Linked DNA regions of Macaca fascicularis. The protein of the gene in region 1 interacts with the protein of each later gene in a pairwise test. Links are inferred from orthologs where the notes say so. Each region holds a gene or a part of one and is shown in the gene's direction. Other genes may lie near its edges.

What was found.
Region 2: the proteins of TXNDC5 (region 1) and GMPPB interact in a two-hybrid assay, tested with the Homo sapiens proteins (2 studies listed by BioGRID and IntAct). The two-hybrid records come from large-scale screens. The link is inferred for Macaca fascicularis from reciprocal best matches to the Homo sapiens genes TXNDC5 and GMPPB.

What each region holds. Positions count from the first base shown.
Region 1 is NC_088378.1:165,099,207-165,103,014, forward strand, and holds part of TXNDC5 (thioredoxin domain-containing protein 5), read left to right. Parts: intron 1-2,666; coding exon 2,667-2,782; intron 2,783-3,808. UniProt on the Homo sapiens protein: Protein disulfide isomerase of the endoplasmic reticulum lumen involved in the formation of disulfide bonds in proteins. Can reduce insulin disulfide bonds.
Region 2 is NC_088376.1:112,742,414-112,746,321, reverse strand, and holds the start of GMPPB (mannose-1-phosphate guanylyltransferase catalytic subunit beta), read left to right. Parts: upstream 1-1,489; 5' UTR 1,490-1,714; coding exon 1,715-1,843; intron 1,844-1,969; coding exon 1,970-2,050; intron 2,051-2,138; coding exon 2,139-2,187; intron 2,188-2,321; coding exon 2,322-2,464; intron 2,465-2,680; coding exon 2,681-2,839; intron 2,840-2,927; coding exon 2,928-3,006; intron 3,007-3,079; coding exon 3,080-3,207; intron 3,208-3,290; coding exon 3,291-3,686; 3' UTR 3,687-3,908. UniProt on the Homo sapiens protein: Catalytic subunit of the GMPPA-GMPPB mannose-1-phosphate guanylyltransferase complex. Catalyzes the formation of GDP-mannose, an essential precursor of glycan moieties of glycoproteins and glycolipids. Can catalyze the reverse reaction in vitro.

The sequences.
Region 1 (3,808 bases):
AATTTCCAATGTGAATATGTAAGCGTCCTTTATTCACCCGTAGATGTGTTTCAGAAAACTTGGCCCAACGCCGAATGACTTGAAAGCAAATTTGGCTTCCTGGCTGACTCCCATTACCAAATGCTACCATGGAGAGAAATCCCCTTAGAAGACTGGCTTGGAAACGTGAGAAAGGGCTTGGATTGCCTCTGGCCTTGTGACTTGTGCCTGCTGGGAGTCAGCAGCCCTCCCCCACCACACTTACTGTCCACAGTAACTGATCATAAGGCCTTCAGCCGTTTCCCATTTTGTTAAAAGTTGTTATTGCATCTGTACCGGTGCCCTGACAGTGGAACTTCAGCTGTTTTGCTACGGGAGTGCATTTGCAGCTGGAATTGGCTTGGGCTCTGAGCAGGATGTGTTTCCCGAATCACCTGTTACAGACCGGCTCTGGCAGGCCTGTAACAGGCCTCCTTTTATGGTTTCATCACTGAAGTGCGCATTCCTGAGCACTGTAGTTTCGTGTGTGTGTATATATCTTCTAAGGCTCTTTTAACCTGCGTGTTCTCCAGACATCTCTTTCTCTTTCTTGCTGAAGACATAGGTGGTTTCACCTGTAGAGCTCCCTGTGGTCCATACTTTGCTAATTGTGTCCCCGTAGTGTGGTCTACATGTTTCCCTGATTTCTCTGTTTCCTGTAAATTAGTAGTTGGGTCTGGGGACAGAATCAGTTTCAGTGTGATATTTTTTGGGGGCACAGGAAGACCTCATAGCTGGTGGGGGCACAGAGTGTCCAGTTGTCTCTCTTTGGGATGTGGGCGACCATGACAGGCAGGGCGTGGGTCCATTCATTCCTTAGGGGTGGCCAAGTGCCACTCGCCAGCGCCTCCCTGAGTGGGTCACTGCGACAGAGCTGTGTCGTGTAGGCACCATGGTGCCTTCCTGGCCTTGCTGGCTTCCCATCAGTACTCTGATTAGGTTCCCAGAGAGCCTGTCTCCATCTTACAGTGCAGGATCTACCGTGCACCTGCACACGGTTTCAGCCTTGCACATTTTTAAATGGAAGTTGTTAACTTTTAAAGGAAGTTTTGCACCATTTTCTTCAGGTGCATCGTTGCTGTGCTGATGAGGCAGTAGCTGTTAGCCTTAGCGTGGCACAGTCCTGCTCAGAGGCCAGGCCACATGCCACTGGTTCGTTCTCTCCCTGACCACAGCCTGATTTCAGTTTGGTATCAGCCCGATGTCAGGGTAGAACAGCTAAACACCTCCTGTGTCCAAAGAATGATGCTGTGAGGGCTTGTTTTTTCTGTGTGTGTGTGTGTCCCCTAGCCAAGGGGGTGATGTTTTACTTTTTAAACTTTTTGTTATGATAAAATGTAATACAGATCGAGAGAACAAATGTTGTAGGGCTTAATGAATTTTTATAGAGTGGTCACACTAACTACTGTCCGGTTCAAGAAATAAAACTGCCAGCCTCCCGTGTCCCATCCAGGGCTCAGCCCGCCCTCCCTTCTCCAAGAAGGCGCTTTCCTGACATTTGTGGAAACCACTTGTATTAGTCCGTTTTCAAACTGCCGAGGAAGATACACCCGAGACTGGGTAATTTACAAAGGAAAGAGGTTTAATGAAGAACTCACAGTTCCACGTGGCCAGGGGAGCCTCACAATCATGGTGGAAGGCAAGGAGGAGCAAGTCACATCTTACGTGGATATTGGCAGGCAAAAAGAGCTTGTGTAGGGAAACTCCCATTTTTAAAACCATCAGATCTCGTGAGACGTACTCACCATCACGAGAGCAGCACGGGAAAGACCTGTCCCCGTGACTCAGTTACCTCCTACCTGGTCCCTCCCACAATATGTGGGAGTTCAAGATGAGATTTGGGTGGGGACACAGACAAACCATATCACGACTCCTTTTATGGTTTCATCACTGAAGTGCGCATTCCTGAGCACTGTAGTTTCGTGTGTGTGTGTGTATATATCTTCTAAGGCTCTTTTAACCTGCGTGTTCTCCAGACATCTCTCTTTCTTGCTGAAGACATAGGTGGTTTCACCTGTAGAGCTCCCCGTGGTCCAGACTTTGCTAATTGTGTCCCCGTAGTGTGGTCTACATGTTTCCCTGATTTCTCTGTTTCCTGTAAATTGGTAGTTGGGTCTGGGGACAGAATCAGTTTCAGTGTGATATTTTTTGGGGGCACAGGAAGACCTCATAGCTGGTGGGGGCACAGAGTGTCCAGTTGTCTCTCTTTGGGATGTGGGCGACCATCACGGGCAGGGCCTGGGTCCATTCATTCCTTAGGGCTGCGAAGTGCCGAGACTCATTCAAGCGTCCCTTCATTTTTTAACCAAGAGAAACTCGCCCTCATTTATCACCTGGTTATTCAGTGGTGCAGTGCATATGGGAGAGGTGGGAGAAATGCCTCATTCTCTCCCTTTATTACAGTTTTCCAAATAATGAGTTGTTGCTGATTGTCCATCAAAGATGACAAATTTGGTTTTGAGTATTGTTATGAACTCATGAATAGAAACACATTTGATGGAGTCCCTTTGTACCAATTAAAGTGCTCATGCTGAACTGAGATTTGCTAAGCAGGACAAAGATCTGATTCTTCAATTAACTCTCTAGTGAGGTCTGACATAAATTACAGTTCTTCTTTCCCCCGTCTCTGCCTTGGCTCTCCACTCCAGGCGACCACTTTATCAAGTTCTTCGCTCCGTGGTGTGGTCACTGCAAAGCTCTGGCTCCAACCTGGGAGCAGCTGGCTCTGGGCCTTGAACATTCCGAAACTGTCAAGATTGGCAAGGTGAGTGAAAGCCCTTATTAAACTGGAAATGGACTGCTTTGGGCTGGATTAATTAGCAGAGTGGCCCATTATTCATTCTGTGTGCAAAGTCGCAAACTTGATTTATTAATTCCATTTAGTGTGCCACTTGATAATTCATTTCACCTTCACAGATGGCAGCCTGATTTTGAGTTTTGCTGACTTTTCCACAGCCCAGAGATAAATTATGGCCTCGGCTGCTTTGTTTATTTTGAAGAGATGGCCAAATCTGAATTGGCAGCCCCAGAGCCCGTTCTGCAAAGATACGGGGTCGAGCCTTGTAGAATGTTCACTGGACGAACTTGGAGACCATCCACGTTCGACCTCACCCAAGAGCCCTCTCTAAAAGGACCCTGGCCCTGTGCTCACCCAGGCACGTAGAAGACCCTCCCTCAGTTTGCACTGTGCCTGGGATTCTTTCCAGGGTTTCCCACTTTATACAGAGAAGCCAAGAGTGATGTCTGACAACTTCTGTGTAACTGGATTTTCTGGAAATATCCAGTGTAGCTCCAGGGATATCACTTTTATTCTTGTCCACTTTCCAGCACCCACCAGACACCATGCATAGATTTCCTTTTTTAAAAATCTTGTTTTTCTACCTTGCCACGGGGCTGATTTGTATACAAAAGTAACGCTGCGTGTCTAGGACTGGATGATGGTTAACAGGATGATCTACTTGGGATGGTGAGATGGTCAAAAGCGTAAACCTGGGGATTGGGTGGACCTGGCTGGCTGACCTTGGGCAAAACCTCTCCACGCCTGGTCTCCCCCTTTGCAAAACTGAGCTAAGATCTACTGTGTGGTGTCTGGGCAGGTGAAAGTACACTGCTTAGTGTGATGCTCAGCACGGGGCGGATGCTTAGTAAGTTGCAATCACTTTTGTTGTCAGTTAAATGGATTTTTCACTGTTGCCTCTTAAACGCTTATGATAATATATACTAATTATACATGTTATGATTATCAGTTTATATTTATTGAACATTGCGGGGAAGTAATTATAAAATAATC
Region 2 (3,908 bases), on another chromosome or scaffold:
ACAGCTTGGCTGTTTCTGGTCAGAAATTACGGTTTTCTCTCCTGTACCATTCTGTGGCTTCAGCCATGGGGGCAGTAGCCCTTCATTAGTGTAGACTTAGTCATTCCCTGGTAGGGTGGAGGGTAAGGCATAGGGTCTGGAGCTGTTTGGGACCTTTTGGGGATGTCCTGTGCCTCCCAGGTTCCTAGATTCTGGGAGGAGAGGCTGCCACATTCTGCTGCTCCTCACAGCGAGCAAAGGCTTCATCCACTTATATTCAGTATTTTCCTGGCACTACAAAGAGTGGGAAGGCCTGGGATTTGCTGCTGCTCCCCTAGAGCAGGGCCCCTCTTTTCAGCACTTTGGACACCTGGAGACCCAGCCCTGTTATTTAATGGTAGTGGGCAAGTGTGTGTGCATACTGTCTGCCACTGCTTTCTCCCTGCCCCATGCCAGAGCCCTCTCCCTGCCAGGCCCTGCCTTAGCCCCAACTTGGGACCAAAGTGCAACATGGGATCATGGGTTGGGGTGCTCCGGTGACCCCTCTCTATAGTGCTTCCCTGGGCCAAGCTGACACCAGCCCCTGAGGGTGGGGTGGGACGGGTGGTGCTTAAAAGAGGAAGGGGACCAGTGTAGCAAATTGCTAGGGACCCCCACCCTTCCCTCTCTGGGCCTGTGCAATGGGCGTGGGGATTCCCATCATGGGGCCTGGCGCCTGTGCTAGTTCCGTAGCTGCTGTTCACGCGCTCACTCCTGACCACATGCACGTTCCCTAGATGCAGATTGCTTTGAACTTTAAAGCTGTACAATTTGGTTATGTTTGTGCTGACTTAAAAAATATTTTAATGAGAAAAAAATGGACAACCCTGGGAAGGACCTGGTTCTTTTGCTTCTCGGGGAACTGTAAGCCCCCGCGTTCTGGGAATCGCTCTCTGCTCCTCTTCTTGGAAGCTAAGCCTGTCCCCACCGCCCGAGGTCTGCGCCCGGACACTAACCCGTGGCTCCCGCCGCAGTAGTGTTTGCTTTGGACCTTGCCTGAGGGGTGCTCGGTCCGAGCCCGCTCCTTTCTGTACACCTAGCGCTGCCCGCCCCGCTTGTGTCTGAGGTCGTGTATGTCAAAAATAAAGCCGCTAGAAACGGAGGCGAGTCTGTCTTTGTGAAAATCCCGTGGTCCGGGAGCCTTCCCTGATCACCCTCCCTCGGGGCTGGGCCGCGACGCGGGCCGTGGGGGCGGGCCGCGGGGTGGGGCGGGGCCGGCGGCTGCTGGACGGCGCGAAGCAGGGAACTAGGCCTCACCCTTGGCGCCAGTTCCGCCTTTGGATCCGCCAATGGCCAGCTGACCCGCGGGTCCCGGCCCGGGTCTCCATGGCAGCCCGGCGTACTCGGGCGCTCATTGGCTACGTGTGTCGCAGCGCTGCGACCCAACGCTCCGTCGCCGGCGGCCGTGCCACGTACGCGGCAGCCGATTGGCCCGCGGTGCTCGCGTCACTGCCCGCGCCGGGTCCGCCCTGAGTTCGTGGCCAGCAGCCGTCCACCCGGCGTCGCGTTCTGGGTTGTGGCGGCCCTGGATCCGGCGTCAGGGCGACCGGGAGGACGAGGTGGAGCCAGAGTCGGTCAGACGGGTTGGTGAAGGGCGCGGGGCCGGGCACGGCGTTGGGAGTGCGCTGCAGGGACCGACTAGACGGGCTGCAGGCACCTCAGAGCCCGGGACACCCCCTCAACGTCCGCAGGCGCGATGAAGGCACTGATCTTAGTGGGGGGCTATGGGACGCGGCTACGGCCGCTGACACTGAGCACCCCGAAGCCACTGGTGGACTTCTGCAATAAGCCCATCTTGCTGCACCAAGTGGAGGCGCTAGCTGCGGTAAGACCCTGGGTCGGGATCGGAGTCGCTTTTGGATCTGGCAGGACTAGGGATGGCCAGTGACTAGGGGGTCAGGGGCTCCCGTACCTTCTGACTGAGCCCGCCCGTTGGCCTGCGTTCTGACAGGCAGGCGTGGACCACGTGATCCTGGCCGTGAGCTACATGTCGCAGGTGCTGGAGAAGGAAATGAAGGCACAGGAGCAGAGGGTGAGGCACGGACTCTTGGCCCTTATCCTCGGTCCCCACCCAACTTCCCATCCTGGTAGAACCTGACTGGGGGTCCTCTTCCTTCCAGCTGGGAATCCGAATCTCCATGTCCCATGAAGAGGAGCCTTTGGGGACAGGTCAGTAGAGAAAGGTCCCTTGGGGAGGGTTTAAGGCCAGGAAAAGGGTAAGACCCAGCCTGCATTGGGCCTGTTGAGCCTGAATCCAGGGACTCAGACCTCCAGCAAGGTTGTGACCTGTCCCTTTCCCCCAGCTGGGCCCCTGGCGCTGGCCCGTGACCTGCTCTCTGAGACTGCAGACCCTTTCTTCGTCCTCAACAGTGATGTGATCTGCGATTTCCCCTTCCAAGCCATGGTGCAGTTCCACCGGCACCATGGCCAGGAGGGCTCCATCCTGGTAAGGCGCCAGGTCTTGTTTCTCTTGACACTTCCACCCTCCACGCCCAGCCTCCCCTGCCCCCTAGCCTTCATCTGCCTTCGGATGTTATGGGTACAGAGCTGTGCAGTATGTATCTTTAAGCACTTGGGGCAGAGTCTCTGAGATCTGGAACGGCATGTATATCAAGGCTCAGGAACACTGGACTAGGTCCGAGGTCCCCTTCCTTGCATTCAGGTAACCAAGGTGGAGGAACCCTCCAAGTACGGTGTGGTGGTGTGTGAGGCTGACACAGGCCGAATTCACCGGTTTGTGGAGAAGCCGCAGGTGTTTGTGTCCAATAAGATCAACGCAGGCATGTACATCCTGAGCCCTGCGGTGCTGCGGCGCATCCAGGTGTGTAGTAGGAGACAGCTGTCGGTGGGCTGTGGTGGGGCAGGCCATCACCGCCATGACCCTGCTCACAAGCTGCCCACTCCCACAGCTGCAGCCTACGTCCATTGAGAAGGAGGTCTTCCCCATTATGGCCAAGGAGGGGCAGCTATATGCCATGGAGTTGCAGGGTGAGGCAGGGAGGCCACAGGGTGGGGGTGGTCTGTGGCTGGGCTGAGGGCCCTGATACATCCCTCCCTACAGGCTTCTGGATGGACATTGGGCAGCCCAAGGACTTCCTCACTGGCATGTGCCTCTTCCTGCAGTCACTGAGGCAGAAGCACCCTGAGCGGTTGTACTCAGGCCCTGGCATTGTGGGCAACGTGCTGGTGGTGAGGCCCTTGCCCAGCCCATCATTAACCCCCTCAGTCTTGGGAGACAAGTGGCCCACTTGTATTTTTCCCACCACTCTCAGGACCCAAGTGCCCGCATTGGCCAGAACTGCAGCATTGGCCCCAATGTGAGCCTGGGACCTGGCGTGGTGGTCGAAGATGGTGTGTGTATCCGGCGGTGCACGGTGCTGCGGGATGCCCGGATCCGCTCCCATTCATGGCTTGAGTCCTGCATTGTGGGCTGGCGCTGCCGTGTGGGCCAGTGGGTAAGCCTGTGGGCTGGGCCAGGTGGGGAGAGGGGCGGGGAGTGTGCCTGTCTCCCTGACAAGGCCTATCCTCTCCTGGAGGTTCGCATGGAGAACGTGACAGTGCTGGGTGAGGACGTCATAGTTAACGATGAGCTCTACCTCAACGGAGCCAGCGTGCTGCCCCACAAGTCTATTGGCGAGTCAGTGCCAGAGCCTCGTATCATCATGTAAGGGGATGCAGTGGGGCTGGCCAAGCCCCGGTTTTCCCATCAGCAAGGGGAGAGTGCTGGCCTGACACATCAGAAGACCCTGGACTTGTTATCTGTCTGGGGGGCACTGGGTGAAGCTGAAGCTGTTGGACACCTGCCTTCTCATGTGGACATCATCTGGCAGGATCCCTGCTGGGCACACCCCACAAACCCTACTCCCTCAAGAAGGGCCAGGGCCAGGGCT